4 linked regions of the Schizosaccharomyces pombe genome follow. The protein of the gene in region 3 interacts with the protein of the main gene of each other region in a pairwise test. Each region holds a gene or a part of one and is shown on either strand. Other genes may lie near its edges. The genes, in order: mss51, spg4, pil1 and pwp1.

Evidence for each region.
Region 1: the proteins of pil1 (region 3) and mss51 interact in a two-hybrid assay, tested with the Schizosaccharomyces pombe proteins (one large-scale study listed by BioGRID).
Region 2: the proteins of pil1 (region 3) and spg4 interact in a two-hybrid assay, tested with the Schizosaccharomyces pombe proteins (one large-scale study listed by BioGRID).
Region 4: the proteins of pil1 (region 3) and pwp1 interact in a two-hybrid assay, tested with the Schizosaccharomyces pombe proteins (one large-scale study listed by BioGRID).

What each region holds. Positions count from the first base shown.
Region 1 is NC_003424.3:4,160,089-4,164,158, reverse strand, and holds mss51 (splicing suppressor Mss51), read left to right. Parts: upstream 1-2,006; 5' UTR 2,007-2,170; coding exon 2,171-3,307; 3' UTR 3,308-3,561; downstream 3,562-4,070. Other genes in the region: deg1 (tRNA-pseudouridine synthase), read right to left, coding at 7-1,359; phosphatidylserine decarboxylase Psd2, read right to left, coding at 3,781-4,070. UniProt on the Schizosaccharomyces pombe protein: Has a dual role in the assembly of cytochrome oxidase subunit 1 (cox1). It has a regulative function on cox1 synthesis, acting as a translational activator specific for the cox1 mRNA, and it also binds to newly synthesized cox1 protein.
Region 2 is NC_003424.3:3,479,869-3,485,164, forward strand, and holds spg4 (AAA domain-containing protein), read left to right. Parts: upstream 1-1,688; 5' UTR 1,689-2,040; coding exon 2,041-4,266; 3' UTR 4,267-4,737; downstream 4,738-5,296. Other genes in the region: tps1 (alpha,alpha-trehalose-phosphate synthase (UDP-forming)), read left to right, coding at 1-987; hrb1 (RNA-binding and mRNA export factor), read left to right, coding at 4,810-4,830, 4,868-5,197.
Region 3 is NC_003421.2:346,970-351,716, forward strand, and holds pil1 (lipid binding protein Pil1), read left to right. Parts: upstream 1-1,589; 5' UTR 1,590-2,202; coding exon 2,203-3,258; 3' UTR 3,259-4,196; downstream 4,197-4,747. UniProt on the Schizosaccharomyces pombe protein: Negative regulator of cell wall integrity (CWI) in unstressed cells, probably by inhibiting protein kinase ksg1/ppk21 activity and regulating their downstream CWI pathways pck2-MAP kinase pathway and protein kinase gad8 pathway.
Region 4 is NC_003423.3:2,162,185-2,166,547, reverse strand, and holds pwp1 (WD repeat protein), read right to left. Parts: upstream 2,431-4,363; 5' UTR 2,271-2,430; coding exon 720-2,270; 3' UTR 552-719; downstream 1-551. Other genes in the region: ATP-dependent RNA helicase Prp16, read right to left, coding at 1-289; SPOM_SPBC1711.15C (uncharacterized protein), read left to right, coding at 4,337-4,363.

The sequences.
Region 1 (4,070 bases), on a different chromosome or scaffold from region 3:
GACAATCTATTTAATATTTTCACTCTTCACGTCACTGTCTTTTAAACCTTTTTTACGTTTATATCTTTCATTGACGACCTCCACTGATTCCTGACGTTGTCTAGAAAGAATTGGGATGTACTTTTTTGTTCGCTTCAGCAATCCTTCACCAACGTTCATAGTACTGCTTGACTCTTCCGATTTGCCATATCTTTTTACATTATGATCTGCTATGTCAAGCATAAACGAAGCTATCTGCTCTCGAATACGTAGACTATGCCACTGATGATATATGGTTTCATATGTATGTTTAGCGATACGAGGAGCAGTCGTAGGACTATCCGTAGGTAGTGTCCATTCAATATTATCAAAGTCACAGTCGTACAAAATCAAAGGATACTCACTTGCCATATCATAAATTGGCTTAGTAGGGACCTTTTTAATATCCAAAAGATCATTGATGAGAGAGGCCGGCTCAAGCTTTTGACCAATTAAAAATAGAATGGCCATCATACATCGTACCTGATGCCATAAAAATGCAGTTCCTTGTAGGTCAAAAGCGTAAAGACCGGTACTGGGATCAATGCAAATAACCTTTGAACTGAGAATTCGACGGTGATAATTTGTAATTTGTTTAGAAGCATCTATTTTGCAAAAATTTCGAAAGTCATGCTCACCTAGATAAAGTGCTGCGGCTTCATTCATTCGATCAATGTCAAGAGAACCACCGGGATAATCCTTAGTAAACAAGTATTTATAATGACGCTGTTTACAGGAAAATCGAGCATCAAAGCCTTCTGGTGGAAATGCATAGCCAGTAATACGTATATCTGCGGGCAACAGGCGATTCAATACATCACAATATATGATAGGTCTTCTTTCTGAATGTCGTACATTTAATGATATAACCTGACCCATGGCTGAAACTCCCTTATCAGTACGTCCACATCGACTAAAGGAACATGATGAAGGATCAGTGATGAGATGAGCTCTCAACAGCGCTTCAAACACCTTTCCTTCAACAGTGGGCAAAGGAGTCGGTTCTAACTGGTAGGCAAGACCATTGTAATTCCAACCACAATAGGCAAATTTAAAAGCAACAAAAACTGTTTTTTCTAGTTGAAACGGTCTGACAGGTTTCAGTTTTGGAAGACTACTTGCGTCCTGAAGCGCATGTTGCAAAACTAGTTCTTGGCTCAGATGCTGGGGTTCTATTTCATTTCCATTATCCAATTTGTTTTTATTTTTAATTACTTCATTTTTCCCCTCAATTTCTTTATTGGGAAGTGAATTTGTATTTTTTTGCAATTTCCCGTCCAATTCTAAAATTCTGGATATTAGCTGGTCTCGAGACCATCCAGCATATTTGGAGGCGGGCATTCGAAGGATTTTAGAAAATTGAAAAATCTTGCCTGAATTATATTGCCAATTTAATTACTGCCTTTGACGAGGTCAGGTGGCAGACGAATAGGTTCGCAAGGCTCTGATAATTAATGACTTGCTTGTCATAAGAGGCAGACATTTTCGCAGTAAAGTTATAAATCATCTATGTAACATTGAGAATTTATCAGATATATTTTTAGTTGCTCATTAGTACAACAGCTTTGGGATTCTGTATGGTCAGTTTGCAGTCTTGTTGGGCCAGCTGGAACTGTTACTAAAATATTGAGTTCACTTTACATTACGAGCAATGAAAATTATAGAAGCTTAGATTAACACAGCTACTTTCGAGATGATTCGTATTCCTTATAGTTGCATTGTAGACTTCCAATAAAGAAAGTGCATTTCCCGTTATGCAATTGATTTACTAGATAGTTCTTTAATATCAACATTATTGAAAATCACCTCTTTGTTGAGTCAACTCAATACTTAATATTTTTTTAAAGAATAAAATTCGCTACTGAATGTCGGTTGCTAATGAACAAAGCAATTGCTTCTACGAACTAATTTGTTAATTTTTTTTACTAAGCATTTCAATAGTTTGCCTTGTTAACGTATTTTTTATGTTCCTTGACATTTTTAATTTTAGTTTCTTCGTCTGCTACTAAACACGTTCACCTAAATCAATACTTGTTAAATTTAGCTGCAACACCGACATAAAAATTTATTTCATTACCTATAGTTACATTGAAACCGGTAGAAGGTTGTTTTTTGGTTCAAGAGTGACGTTTCGCTTATATTTTTTTTACTTATGTCGTTTTTAAAAAATCTCTTCAAGAAGAAATCCCCAACTCATGAATTATTCCATCCTTTATCGCGTTCTCCCTTAACGGCTCTTCGCCGTCGCTCTGAGCATATCAAACAAGTCTATCGGTGTCCAATTTCGGGAAAGTCAGTGGAATATGAGTGTCCTGAATCTGGATTTCCTACTCATTGTAATAGAACTCATTGGGAACAGGACAAGATTCACCAATCCCTTATCCCAAAACTACGCCAAATTAATGAAGACTATCATGACTTAGCACGACCAAACCCTTTGCCGGAACTACTCAAACTTCCTGGACCCATGGAAGAAGATGAAGTAGTTTCTCTTCTGTCATGGGATTCATTCTTCTATACCCGCGATTTCCCAAAGTTCCAATCGTCTAGAACTGCTAGACATATTACTAGTTTATTAACATATCCCATGTCAATCGGCGCTATCCTTCACAAGAATTCTCCTTATAATTTAAAAAATGGGTTAACTCCCCAGGGTCTACAATCATTAACTGCTCTACGATATATGCTTCATCGTCCTTTGTCTGCTCAATCTACTGATCCCAGACCCACTAGAATTTTCGTTTTGGGTGCTACCAAAGAATGTTCATTACCACCATCAATTTGGTTACAAGGATTGAACTTTTTGTTCCCAGGTCGTTTATTTCAATTGCATTTTATCGGACCTGAAGTTGTTGTTCCTTCTAAGCAACCCAATTTGCCTTCCCCACTCAGCCTTCATTTTCATCAGGATTACTACCACAATTTGCATAGAGTTGGAGCCTTTGAGCCTTTTGACCCCTACTATGATACTTTTTTTCTTCCGATGCCTCTTATAAGTCATCCACTTTATTCTTCATCGTGGATTCCGACACTTCACGATTTGGTATCGACTCGTTGCTCTGTATGGCTCACAAGTCCTTCATCTCAAAGAACAACCAAAGATTTGGAAGTTCTTAATAATGTTTTGAAAGATTCAATTGAGCCCTTGTTATTGCCAACTGTTAATAAATTTGCCAGCTTAGGCTGGTCTGTTGATGATTCAAACCTTCATGAAGTTTATCACGCAAATCAAGAAGTATTTGGATTCAGAGCCCTTTATTATAATGTCCAAAATGTTTCCAAAGAGTAATTCTTGTCCGTTAAGTCGTCTACCATCTTCCAATTTCATATTCTAATCTAAAAGCAATCTATTAATGAATTTTAAGGTCCAAATTTTGGATTGTGAATAAACAAAATATTAGTATATATGTAATGATTATCAATTACGAATTTTGAAAAGAAGACATGCCACCTTATGTCAAAACAAGCTAACCATACTTATTTTTAAACATTTTCATTACTACTTTAAAGGTGTATCAATAAAATAAATTTATTGGGTGTCAATTCTTTAAATTGGAATGTAATTAAGTAAATAGTAACTATAATTATGGGTTTATAAACGCAATATCAATTTAAATAAAAAGAAGATCAAAAGCAAATGGGTTAATTTAATTAATTCATCACATACAAATGATTATTTAGAATACACACATTCTCATACTAACAATAACTTATATCAGGGATAATCCAGCGATTAATAAAAATTATCCCGATTTATCCTGTTTAGAGGGCCTCTCCAACACGAACATATTGGCCTTGATAAGTGGAAAACTCAAAGTCGGCAGGTGCTTCGAATACCAAAACAACGGTACTTCCGAGTTGAAACCCACCAACTTGTTCGCCACGACTAACTGGCATACCGTCTAAAACAGGAGAAGCGTTCTTGTAAACTGCTTCTTGAAACGTACCTAATGACTTCTTCCGTAAGACGAGGCGATTGGTAGATAAAGTAGGATCACAATTAATGACAATGCTACCCACATTGGTTGCACCTACAGGAATCATACTCATAA
Region 2 (5,296 bases), on a different chromosome or scaffold from region 3:
CACACTCCTTTCCCAAGTAGCGAAATCTATCGTGTTTTACCCGTTAGAAACGAAATCCTTGAAGGTGTACTCAACTGTGATCTCGTTGGCTTCCATACCTACGACTATGCCCGTCACTTTTTGTCTGCATGCTCTCGTATCCTTAATCTTAGCACACTACCTAACGGTGTGGAATACAATGGTCAAATGGTCAGCGTCGGCACCTTCCCCATCGGTATTGATCCCGAAAAGTTCTCTGATGCTCTGAAGTCTGACGTGGTAAAGGATCGCATTGCAAGCATCGAACGTAGACTACAAGGCGTTAAGGTGATTGTGGGTGTCGATCGTTTGGACTACATTAAGGGTGTTCCCCAAAAATTCCATGCCTTTGAAGTGTTCTTAGAACAATACCCTGAATGGGTTGGAAAGGTCGTGTTGGTTCAAGTTGCCGTTCCTTCTCGTCAAGATGTCGAAGAGTATCAGAATCTTAGAGCCGTTGTCAATGAGCTTGTTGGCCGTATTAACGGTCGTTTTGGTACTGTTGAATATACACCTATTCATTTCTTACATAAAAGTGTTCGCTTTGAAGAGCTGGTTGCTCTGTATAACGTTTCAGACGTTTGTTTAATTACCTCAACTCGTGATGGTATGAATCTTGTTTCATACGAGTACATTTGCACTCAACAAGAGAGACATGGTGCCCTAATTCTTAGTGAATTTGCCGGTGCTGCCCAGTCACTCAATGGTAGTATTGTAATTAATCCATGGAACACGGAGGAATTAGCAAACTCCATTCATGATGCCCTCACTATGCCGGAGAAACAACGTGAGGCTAATGAGAATAAATTATTCCGATATGTTAATAAGTATACCAGTCAATTCTGGGGTCAAAGCTTTGTCGGTGAGTTGCAACGCATTCAACACTACAGCCACCCTCACCCCAGAAGAACGAATCCGATTTTACGAACCAAGTCTGCTCAAGTGCTGTCGATGAATTCTAGCTCGTAAGAGTGCATTAGCAACACTATTGGTTTGTTTTCCCATTAATCAAGTTGTTGCACTTTTACACTTTTACTTCTATAATTTCATTCTCAAAGCAATTAAATCATTTGGTCATATATATTCGATGAGTTAGCAGTTTACGATACAAAGGATGTTGTTTATACTGGCACTTTTTTTATTGAGATGAATTCACAATACATGATATAATGCAACGTTCTTTAATGATTTTTTTATATGCAGAAATTCCAATCAGCTTATGGTGGTTTGAGTATTTGCTGATGATGGAAATTTGTTAGACAAGTATTCGACAATTTTTTTATGAAGTGTTGTTCTTTGTAATTTCCTTTGGTTTTATATTGAACATGATGGCAAAAAGAATAAATGTTTTGTTATTTAACCTTAAAAATCCTGTAACATTCAATTAATATTATTTTTATACATTTTTTTTGGGATACACGTGGAAGATTGTGACTAATATATCTTATAAGTAAGGATGAGAATATGCTGGACTGGTGAACGGAGTTGGACCAAGCAAATATTAAGATTAATAGTGAAATGGTTTTAAAGGTATTATTTATTGTAAGTAAACTAATTTTCAATTCTCATATAGCAAAAAGAGTTTTTTTGTGTAAATGATGAAGATGCGTCATTTACCCATCATTATTCTTCGCTACACCAAAACCAACCGTAAAGATTTAAAACTCAACAAGCACAGTGCGTATATCATAGAACTTCTATTCACGCATATAATTAGTGCTGTTGCTAGTTTTGTATTTATTTTTGTAGACTTTATCAAGTTTTCCGACAAAATCGTGGTTTTAGTGAGAAATTTTATCTTTAACTTTGTATCACTATATCTACGATTTGTATTTGCATGCCGCATTCTGCTTGTACGAAAACAATATTTAATAAGGTAATAGGATATAAAAGGAGAAGTGTAGTTTGTGCACTTCAGCCAATATAGAAAGAGAATAACGTTTCCAATCGAGCCGATTTAACCTCTTTCCATTGAAAGGTAATTGTTTTTAATCAGTTGTAGACGTTAAAGAATGCACAAAAATGAGCCTTGAAGACTGCTATAACGTCACACAGTCATATGCCGCCGTTGCAATTCATAAAGAGCAGACTGCTGACTATGTGGAGGCTATCGCTTTATTTCAAAAGGCCAAGCGGAACATTCTCATGAATCCAGAGTTTAAGTATGCGAGGGAACGCTTACACGTGATGGATTATGAAGATAGACATTATGTGGAAACATTACTCTGCATGTTGGAGCAGTTGACCATTCGAATTGAGTTCCTTACCAAAGAGATTGCGCAACAAGAAGCTGCTTATAAGGATATTCAAAATACACAAAAGTCACTTGTAACACAATCTTCTACTGGTAGCGCTAATGTTGCTTATATAAGTGGAAATGGTCCTGGCGATCGCTCATTTATCGATGATGGTAACTATAGTGCGTCTTCTTTTGAGCGTCAAAATAGAACAGCTCCTTTACAATCTAAAGTGACAACGGCATCCTTAAAACCTAATATTCCGCGAACATCTATGTCCTCTTCACCTACAGCTTCGCGGACTTCGTTGCGTAAAGGCGCTGGTGAACTAGAAACACATAGCGCTGTTAAATCTGCTAAAAAGGCCAGTGTCAAGAGTAAATCAGTGCTTCCTCCAAGTAAATCGCTTGCTAGGACTGGACTTCCAGCTGAAGTCTCTACCCAGAACAATGCCAATCGAGCAGCTCTATTGGCTTGGGGATCTTTGAATTCATCTAAGCCTAAGCATGCTCTCCCGCCATCATACATATCATCGGAAGCAGCGCAGGCATCTCGATCATCGTTTCAGGTTGAGCGTCATCGTCCAACTCCCGATAACTCCGCCGTTATTGAAGCTGCCCGCCGAACTTACTCTTCTATTTCCTCCTCTTCCTCACCCTTCAAAAAGAAAACGCAATCCCATCTCCCTAATCGTACCACTGAAGTACCTTCTATATCAAAACAGTTATCAAAGTCATCTACCTCAATCGCAACCGTCGCGCCATCTCTCGCTTCTGTTTCGTCAGTTACAAAATCGCCATCTCCCACTCCTCAGTCAGCTCCACGAGCTCAATCTGCTTCCACTGAAACTGCGCAAGATCTGGATTTCCTTACACCGCCACGTTTATCTGTGAACAACCCTTTTCTGAGTGATCTCTATCCAGCTTCCGAACAGGGGCTTTCTTCCTGTGAAGAGAAAGATTCGCCGGTTGATGGCGATGAATTTTTCAACCACACAAACGAAGAAGAGATTATTGAAAAGCAGTTTCAATCCACATCTATCTCTGCAATGACTTCTGAAAAGCAAGAACAAATTCTGCGTGAATGTCCAGACATCGACGAAGAGCTTGGTAAGAGTATACTTCGAGAAATCGTGGTTTCGGGTGATGAAGTTCATTGGGATGATATTTCTGGGTTAGAATTTGCTAAGCACTCTTTAAAAGAGGCAGTGGTGTATCCGTTCTTGCGTCCAGATTTGTTCCAAGGCTTGCGGGAACCAGCTAGGGGGATGCTTCTTTTTGGGCCTCCAGGAACTGGTAAGACAATGCTTGCGCGAGCTGTTGCTACTGAATCCCGTTCTGTCTTTTTTTCTATTTCAGCTTCTAGTTTAACATCCAAGTTTTTGGGTGAATCCGAAAAACTTGTTCGTGCTCTCTTCACTTTAGCAAAAAAGCTGTCTCCAAGCATCATTTTTGTTGACGAAATTGATTCACTGCTTTCTGCTAGAAGCAGTGATGGAAATGAGCATGAAACATCGAGAAGAATAAAAACAGAATTCTTAATTCAGTGGTCTTCGCTTGCAAGAGCAGCTGCATCTCGACAAACCGCCGATCACCCAAGAGTTCTAGTGCTTGCCGCTACCAATTTGCCTTGGTGTATCGACGATGCTGCTCGTAGACGATTTGTCCGTCGTACCTACATTCCCCTCCCTGATGAGACCACTCGTCGCTTACATTTAAATAACCTTTTAAAATATCAGAAGCATTCTCTTTCCTTAGAGGATATTGAGGCTATTGTGAAAGCAACCGAATATTACTCTGGCTCTGATTTGACAGCATTGGCAAAAGACGCAGCTATGGGGCCTTTGCGAAGTTTAGGTGAGTCTTTGCTATTCACGAAAATGGAGTCGATTAGGCCGATTAATTTAGATGACTTTAAAACTAGTATCAAGGTAATCCGGCCTAGTGTGAACTTGCAAGGGCTGGAACGATATTCAGAATGGGACAAAGAGTTCGGATCCCAAGGGCATTGAGTCTGTCTTCTTATTTAAAATTCCTAGCCTGATACCGATTTTTTTGGTAATCACGTTGAAAATTTATTTATTGTCTTTTAATACATGGCTTGTGCAAACTTATGATTATAACTAATAAGGACAACTTTTGCCTCAAGGAATTATTCATGATGATAATAATGGTGCTGTACCAAAAGCCTTTTTGTTTACTCCTAATATATTCGTTTGTCTCTTTTTTGTTGATACAATTTATGCACAGTCTTTGAATTTTTCAAACACTTAATATTAACTGAGGTTATCTCTAACCCTAGTTATTGTTTGAGTTTCCATTTTTATTACGACTCATTTACAAACAACTAAAACTCCTTACTATGATTAATTAGTCAGTACATGTCAATATTTATAATTTAAATGTTTACAGTTTTTTTATTCTATTGTTCTTTTAGCGAATCTAAGAGTTTACAGTATATCACTTACGAAATTATATTGCAGTTACACTATAGAAGTCAAGTTGTTGGGATGCTTTAATTATGTGAAGATGCACACTCAGCTTATGCTCTTGCGATGCCTAAACCTATAGAATGGGTATGATAACTATTGATTGATTTAGCTGATCAAATAGAATGAATTTGATTCAGGAATGGGTAGTAAGTTGGATGTGTCAAGTTCCTTGAATTCATCGTCTTCCAATATGGATCGTGACAGATCGGAGTCTCCGAAGCGACATGTCAACGGAAGCAATTCATTGAAACGTGGCTTGCATTTTGATGGAGAGCACACTGAAAGAGACCCTCACTTGGGAAATGGCCAAAAGTACACTCAACAAGAGCGTCGCGTGTATGTTGGTAATTTGTCATATCAAGTTCGTTGGTTTGAGTTGAAAGAGTTTATGGGACAAGTTGGCAATGTTCTTAATTGTGAGATTTTGAATCTTCCGAATGGATTATCGAAGGTAAGTTTGCTTCATAGAGGGTGGGTTTCATGCGACTAGTAAATCATTGTCTATTTAAATTGTAACGTTGAATCGATCCAATTGAACGTTACTTTTAAA
Region 3 (4,747 bases):
ATCGTGCGCGCGCACCGTAGGGAAAGGAGGGAAGCAAGGCAGCGGCGGCAGAGCAGGAGTCTAGTACAGTAAGGCAGCGAGGAGGGAAAAGAAGATTTCCCATATGTCGGGAAGAGAGATTTGAGAGAGGGAGAGAAGTACGGACGGTCGGAGGAGCAGGAGAGAGAAGAAGAGCCATGAAAAAGGAAGTGAAAGTAGAAGGGAACTAGTAGGAAAATAGTAGGGAAATAATAGAGGTATTCTTTTGTTTATTTCGTTTAATTTTATTTTATTTCGTTTTATTTTATTTCGAGTATTCTTTTGTTTATTTATTTTCTTTCGTTTTATTTTATTTCCTTTTGTCGCTCTTTTTTCTCTCTTCTCGTCGCTACTCTAGCATTTCTAGCTATTATCAGTACATCGCCATGCCATGTGCCATGCAATGTTATGCTATGCTATGCCATGCCATGCCCGTTACACTCCCGTGTTCCATTTGGTGCTCCATTCCCGTATTGCCAAAGATAGATATTTCCGTATTCACTCGATCCTCTTCATCTTCCGAATAAACTGATAAAATTGTTGCAAGTATCTAATACTCATTCATAGTCAGCGTCGGCATTTTCTTAAACTCGTTTACAATCATTTCTTCTGAATTCATCTAATTTCTTCTGAACTCATTTCATCTTTCTTTTCTTCATTCTTACTACACTCATATCCCGTTTCACTCACAACTCACTTCTTCACAATATCACTCACTCTCTTTCGCTACTTCTTTTCTCTCTCTCACTTTTCCATTTCTTGTCACCTCGTTCCTTGTTACCTACCCTTGTTGCCTCTAACTTTTACCTTTTCTCTATTCTATTCTCTTTTGTTTTAACCTTTTTTTTTATTTTTGTTTCATCCATATTTATCCATTTATATTATCTTTCTTTCTATATTTATCTTTATCGGTCCATTTATCTTTTGTTTTTTCTCTTGTCTCTCTCTCTCTCTCTCTTACCTTTCTTTCTCTTCTCTACTCTACTCTACTCTACTTTACACTACACTATTCTATCCTAAGCTACTCCATCCTCCTCTACACTATCCTATCCTATCCCATTCTCCTCTGTCCTATCCTCCTCCGTTTTATCCCCTCTATCTCTATTCATTTCTCTACTCTATTTCCTTTTTACCCACTTTGCCTTCCTCTGCTCTATCCTTCTTCAACACACCCATCGTCACTTCTCCCTCTTCTCTCTTTACCACATCCTACCACTCCCCGGCCTATTCATTCTTTTCACTCTCTTTCTTTCTTTCACAACGACGACGCGTTTGTTTACCCCATCGGCCCTTCAACACTCGCTGCCCCCCTCCCCTCCCCCTTCAGCTCCAGTTAACGCGGTGCGCCAAACGCATTGGTCAACATCGCTATCCAGAAAGAAATTCGGTTTTATATTATCGCGAATGGGAACGTCATGTTTACGTGATAGAAGGAATGGACATATCTATGGCAACTGTGGCCAGCAAGCTGACCAAATGATGTTTACCTACTCTTGTTCACTACGGCAAGTGATGATATCATTTTCCCACCTTAGCTTTGTATATATAGACTGGCTCGCTCATTTACCGATACACCTTTATCCATACTCACGTTTTCATTGACTTTAGTCAAAACTTTCTTTTCTTTTTTATCCTTTAACTATACTATACTTTATTATAGTATCCTTTCTCATACCATAGGATATAACATACCTTGGGATATATATATATATATAATCTTTTTTTTTTTTATATATACCCCATCACATTTTTGTTATACCCAGAGAATAGCCGCTAAGCAAAAGTTAAGCTAAGCTAAGTGAATTTGAAAGAAATCCAAAAGGAAAATTTCCTCGTTTTTCCCTTTCCCCAAAAAAAAATCCCGACTCCTTTCCATTTTTTCATATAGTCGACAAATTTTTTTATTTTTGGGCTTTTTTTATACACACTCTCTCTATCTAACTATCTATCCTATTTAACTATATACCCACGAAATTTCGTATCGCCCTTTGGTAAAGTGTTAAACATTTTTCGTCCTACTCTTTTTTTTTTACTTATAACTCGTCCTCTCTCTACTAAATTATTCTCACTATAATTGTTCTTATTAGTATCATCACATACTAATATACTACTACTACTACCACTTATTTTTATTATTACTACCATCTCTTCTTATTTACCCACATCTATTTCTATTTCTGCAAGATGATGAACCGTGCGTACTCTTTAAGAAACAGCCGTGCCCCTACGGCCTCACAATTGTTAAACCCCCCTCCTCCCTCCTCTTCCACTCGTAGTGGTCGTTTGTTTGCCCCCTTGAGTCATACCATGCGTATCAACCACGCTGCCACCTTCACCCCTGACTTGGCTAAGCGTTTGGCTGTCTTGGTCAAGATGGAAAAGAACGTGATGCGCAGTATGGAGGTCACCATCCGTGGCCGTCGTGATTGTGCTCGCCAACTTTCCTACTGGGGTGAGGACTGCGATGACGATATCAGCGACGTCACCGACAAATTGGGTGTCTTGTTTTACGAGATGGCCGAGTTGGAGAACTACTTGATCGATCGTTATGACCAATACCGTATGACGTTGAAGTCCATCCGTAACATCGAGTCCTCTGTCCAACCCTCTCGTGAGAAGAAGCAAAAGCTCTTGGATCAAATCTATGCTCTTAAGCATAAGGATCCTGAATCCCCTCGCTTGGTCACCATGGAGCAAGAGCTTGTTCGTGAGGAGGCTGCCTGTTTGGTTGCCGAGGCTCAACTTTCCAACACCACCCGTGAAAAGTTCAAGCAAGCCATGACCTTCAACTTGGATGCCCTCCACGAGCATGCCGAGAAGCTCAACCTCATTGCCACCTATGGCAGACATTTGTTGAACTTGATTGACGACACCCCCGTCACTCCCGGTGAGGCTCGTCCTGCCTACGATGGTTATGAGACTTCCCGCCAAATCGTCATGGATGCTGAGCACGCCTTGAGCTCTTGGGTTCCCAGCCAACCCGCCGTCAACTTTGTCAAGCCTCAAATCGAGGATGATGCCCAAAGTGACGCTCGTTCCTGGAACGAGTATGAGGCTCAAGGTGAGCCCGTCCCCGTTGAGCAAGTCACCCACTTACAAGACGACGTTCAATCCGACACTAGCGAGATCATTGAGAACGAGCCTGGCATGCACCCTCATGTCCATGCTGAGCGTATGTCTCGCATTGCTTCTGAGTCTAGCGATGCCGTTCCTCAGCAAACCGCCGTCCAGGTTGCTTAAAAAAACTCTTTACTTTTTTTCTATTTGTCGTCGTGGAGAGGGAAATTGCAGTGTCAAGCGAAAATAAAAAAGAAATTTCTTGAAAGCTTATCGTAATCCCATTTGGGCTTTTTCGTGACTTTTTCCTTTTTGGATGGATTGATGATCCCAGAAACAATCGTTACTGACAAACGATAATGGGTTTATGATATTCTTCCTTCGTTTGTCGACTCTTTTTTACTACTCTTTTCCCCAGGTCCTTGTTTGGTCATAATTTATTTTCTTTATTAAAGAATAATTGTATGTGTCATCTGGTTCCTTTCTCTCTTTTCTTTTGTCATAGAAGGAAGAAGGAAGGTGGTGTATGATTGAATTGCTTCGACGAAATTGGCGTTTAAAAAAAAAGACAGGCTAAAGGCATTGCAAATTCCACACCTCTCGTTTTTTATAAAGAGTTATGAAAAAATGATGCGGACGGATAAAAGTTTGTTGAAGGTGTGGTGGTATCTATCTATCTATCTATCTATATTCCCTTTGTGGACGGAATAGAGAAAGATTTGTTTGATTGAATGAAAGGGGTTAAAAAAACGTCAAAAGTTTTCAATATTTGTTGGTTGTGTTTTTGTTATCCATGGAAAAAAAATTTTTTAAACTGTCTTTTTTTCTCCCCTTTTTCCTTTTATTTTATTTTATTACAATCGTGGATATATGTTGCTTTGAGAATTCAATCGACCGAGAGTTTGATTGGTTTATTTTTTTCGTCAGTGACAGGTATGAGCTGAAAGAAAACTTAATTTAATAAGCTGGCGTGCGCGAAGGAGAGCATGTTAGACGGAAACCCTAGTTTGCTCATAGCTAAGAAACTGTTCAATTTTTACATAGTTATTATAAGGCGGAGATGTCGCAATTATTTTATTATTATACCTTTTATTATAATTATTATTTTATTTGTTTTTATATGTTGCTGCTATTGCTATCGGAGGAAGAAAAAGACTCTAGACTGGCTTGGCTTGGCTGGCTGGTGGTGTGAGAGGGGGAATTTGAAGAAAGTGTGTTTTGCTTTTAGTGGGTTTAGCGTAGCTATTATTTTGTTGGTAGTATGATGGATATTTGTGCCAGCTTGGCTAGTCTTTTGCACGTGAAGGATGATGTACTTCGTTGCAAAGAGCCTTTTTTTTTCTTTTTGAGGTAGGTAGATTTGATTAATCTTGAGAATAAGAAACCATAATATGATTGAGAAAAGATGGAAGGCGAGATGGGTAAATTGCAAGGGTAGAATAGTAAAGTGTATTATGAGTTGGAAGTTAGTTAGTATGTTATTATTATTAAGAAGTAATTATTAGAATTAGCAATGCAAGTAGTAGGAATCGATGTATTAGGAGGAGCAGAATTAGGAGTAATAAGCGAATACTTTAGAAGAGGAGTCAATGTCGAAAAAAGAGAAAACAAGGTAAATTATTAACGCCTTTCCAAAATTATTGTTTTACTTTTAATTTAGTTATACCAGAAT
Region 4 (4,363 bases), on a different chromosome or scaffold from region 3:
CAGCTACCTGAGACCCATCATTCCCAGGAAGTTTATCTTTAGAAATCCCCAAATTTGTCTCTAAACCAATTATAGATTTGCATAAATCGTAAATAAGGACGCTGTCATTATCGGAAAATCGTCCAAATGTATGTAATGCATTAGAAAACTCGGTGCTGGACGAGCTACCCTTGGCAATTGTCAAAACTCGACTGGCAAGCGATGTAGCTGCATCTTTACTGGACATATAATCAGTTAATTTATCTATTAACTTCGTAAATAGCAAATCATTTTGATTATGTGAAAGCATACCTACTAAATCAATAAGGTTGCTGGCGGAAGGCGAACTTACTCAGACCCTCCGGCCCCCCAAAGGTGCAAAATCATGAACCTGAGTAATTGACAATTAACAATTTATCAGTACTTCAATGTTTAAATAAAAATTGTCATATGAATTAAAAGAATTGTTAGGCAAAATTTACCAAGTAACGGTAAACCCAATATACACTTAATGCATACATTTGCTACTCCACTAATGTGGATGAATTTACTAAAGTTTAAAGACCATCATACACCAAATCAAATGAAATTTATTGTAACTAACCTGATCCCTTTTTTCCAAATATTGAATTATGCAAAAAATCCTCTATACAATTAGTGAGCCCTTTAAACCCATGAAGCGGCCTCTTAGGAGAGTTTTTGAAAACATGAAGCTATAATCTTAAAATAAATCAAGAGAATTAGGACATCTCAGCATCTTGATCATCATCGTCTTCTATATCTTCATAGTCATCATCATCAGAAGAGTCCTCCCCGGCACCTCTGTCTTCTAACTGAACGATGCGCTCTTTTTTAGTAACTTCCTCAGTAACTCTACTTTCAAACGCTTTTCGAACACCAGGATTAGTTGCAGTGTCCCAGACACGAACGACTCCTTTGCTTCCGGAGGCAGCTAGATGGAAAGCAGTTGATTCGTCCGTAGTAAAGGAGCAAGTAAACACACGTCCAACATCCAAATCTCTAGAAACAACCATCTTCGGTGAACTATCGGAAGTGTTCCAGAGTTTAACCACTCTATCAGTGGAGCCTGTGGCTACAAAAGAAGGAACCGAAGGATTAACACTGAGACAAGAAATAGGTCCATCATGGGCTTGCAATTGCCAAACGGACTTTGAGAGATTTCTAGCATCGCAATAATAAACTATGCCATTATCAGTGCCAATGAAAAAGTTGTTTTCGCTATGTTGATCCCAGGCAACATTTTCAACATCGCTAGTAACTTGAAAACTCGATGGAGCTTCTTCAAGGCGAAGGTCAGCTATTTTTGCAGTTTTATCATAACTACCTGACAATAATACGGATGGAGCTTTGGAATACCAATCTAAGCAAGAAACTTTGTCAGAATGATACGTGAAAGATTTGACACAATTGCATGTGCTCAAATCCCACAACTTTAGTGTGGTATCTGCAGAACCAGAAACCAAAAGATTGTGAGCATTTCGGTTCGAAGAAAGAGCAAGAACAGCATCTGTGTGATAACTATCATTTATTTTTTTAGACTTCTTCTTTTTCTTGTTGACTTGAGAGGCACCTGCACCCAACACGGCTGCAGGGTAAACTGCATCAATGATGTCTAAATCCCATATTTCAATTTCAGGATCAAACGTGCCGACAGCAACGTAATTTCCAGGAGCGTTGTCAGACGTACCCACCTTATAATCTAGCCATTCGAGACACAGAGGAAAGGTAGGGAGAAGAAAATCATGATGCACGTAAAGATTTTCCTCTGTTGGCTCATATACATACACTTCAACGTGGGACAAGTTATCTTCTGTGCGCGCAGCTAGCAAAAGGCTGTCTGTTGGTAATATTTGCATTTCCTCTCTTTCCAAATCGTCCTGTTCCTGAGGATCAATAGTGATATATGGATCTTTTTCTCCATTTTCATGGTAAGCCAATCCACGAATGTTGCTAAACATAGCAGCGGGCCCTTCTGTCTCAGCTTCCTCCTCATCGTCATCGTAAGTATCCAAATTGTATACTTTCAATTCATCATCTACCTCTTCACTTGTTTGCAACACCCCTTCTGCTCCATCTGTAGTTTCTTCACCGTTCCCATTGGCTTTATTTGAGTCTTCCATAGAAGATTGGAGATCAGCTCGAGCATCCTCGAGCTTTAACTTTGAAAGCTGATTAATTCGCTCATACTCTATCTCATCAATATCGTAACTCTTGGGAAACTCTGATGCATAACCGCGAGGAACAAAAGCCACAGACGAGACTATTGACATGTTGCACCTCTCTTAATATTTACTCCGCAAATCTTTACTTTAATGTTTAAACCAGAAAACACACCACTCTTGATCTAAACGAGATTAAAAATTTAAAGATTAAGTAAATGTCAACGTATTGATACGAGTAAATAATGGCATAAATCGTGCACCGCTACTTGGGAAAAGAAGAACTGAAAATATTCGTGTCTTACAAAAAACGTTATTTAACCGTTTAGCGTAAACCTGCGTTAAATTAGATTTCAAAACTTAAGAAAACATTTTTCTTCGACCAAAAGGCCATAACGTTCATGTAGATAAACTAAATGCGTTAACTTAATTTACGTCAACAAGTATTTTTACTCATCGTAAATTCAAGTTAATGTCAGTTACGCAATTTGGTATCTGTTTAATGATACATTGAACTACGGCGAGTATTTCTTACGAGCTACGATGTAACGGTATGCGGTATGTTAAACTAACTAACATGTAAGCTACGCAGTTTGGTATCTGATTTAAGGATACGTAGAACTGCGGTGAGTTTTCCTTGTGATCTATTATATTACAATACACAGGTTGTATAAGTAGCAACTGAGAATAGGTATTGTATTAACTGGGTTATAATGTTACCTATCACTAATATAGCTCATAACTGAACCTCGTTCCTCAGTTCAGCAGTAGCTCTATTTATATTATTCAGATAATATAGATCTTAATAGATCATCATTAAGATCAATCTCAATATCGTATCATACATGGTACGATATATAATTAGAACATGTGACATATAGTGATACGCAAGTAGTGTATCATAGCGTAGTGTAGTATTGCTGACATAACAATATTTATTTGAGAAATCTAATAGCATCGGTCACTAAATTTTTTAGTCTTTCTAATATTTGTATTTGTTCTCACTGGTGTCTAAGTAAAATTAATGGATCTTAAAATTTGTTTCCAACATATAAAATCAGTCGCACGCAACACAGTGTAAACACTTCTAACAGTACGTTGCATAAGAATACTAAGTTGAGTGAATTAAAAGGGCGGTAACAATATGAGTGTCAGAAGCATCACATTAAGATGGAGTTTGGAATTTTTGGTTTTTACTTAACTTTTAAATGATTTCAAGATTGAATAAACACAAAACAATACTTTGAATTTTATTAATTAATTTTATTGAATTTTTATATGGAGAAAAATTGCAATACTAGCTTCGTTAGAAAGTTTGTACGATAAATGCTACGGACGTATATTTGTGTATTGCCTGCTGTTTTCGTTTAATGTTGCAAAGAACACAAGTCAACTAATTTGCCGCAGCTCTAACTGCTGTAATCTATAAAGTTCGCTATACAACAAACGAACACAAGGAAACAAATAGTCACCTATAATTTTCTCTTCTTAAATTAGTCTTAATTTTTGGACTGAAACTTAAACAGTAAAACGAATAGCTTATAATATGAAAAGTTGTTTTAGAAGGGCAAAATGTTAGAAAAAGTTATCGATTACACAACAATAGGAAACTACCCTTTTACTATGATTTTGAGCAAAACCAGTAAACCAATCCATAAATCACAATATGTAGCTTTATTCATGCTTTTATCTTTTTTTTTTAACGAAAGCTTATGTTTAATAAGCTCGACTCTCGTATAGTTGATAAAAGCCGTCACGTTGTTTCGAAGCTATAAATTTGGCAAACCGCTAAACGTACGTAGTGCCATCAACGCTGAAAACAGCTATATTAGTGCATATAGATAATTTCGTAAAAATCTTTGAAGTTTTTTAAAAAGGACTGTCTATAAAAAATTTCAACTAGGTAGGTATTCAAAAATGAAAGAAACTGAAAATTCCTTGAATTCTATTGTGATGACAAAAGAAGAAGCTTAACATTTTATATAGGAAGTGCCGTCTGAGAGTTCTGCTCGGTGACCAAGCTAATTCATTCTGAGAAATCTTTGTAAACTCAAGGGGTTTTAGTATTCAATCATTTGGGCTTTCATAAGTCTATCAACAGTTTTTGCTCATTGCATACTAACAGCGTTTAGGCAAGTTTAATATGTGCTGAAAGTGAATATATTGCATCGCTCACTATGAAAAAACGGTTTGATTGGTGTTTA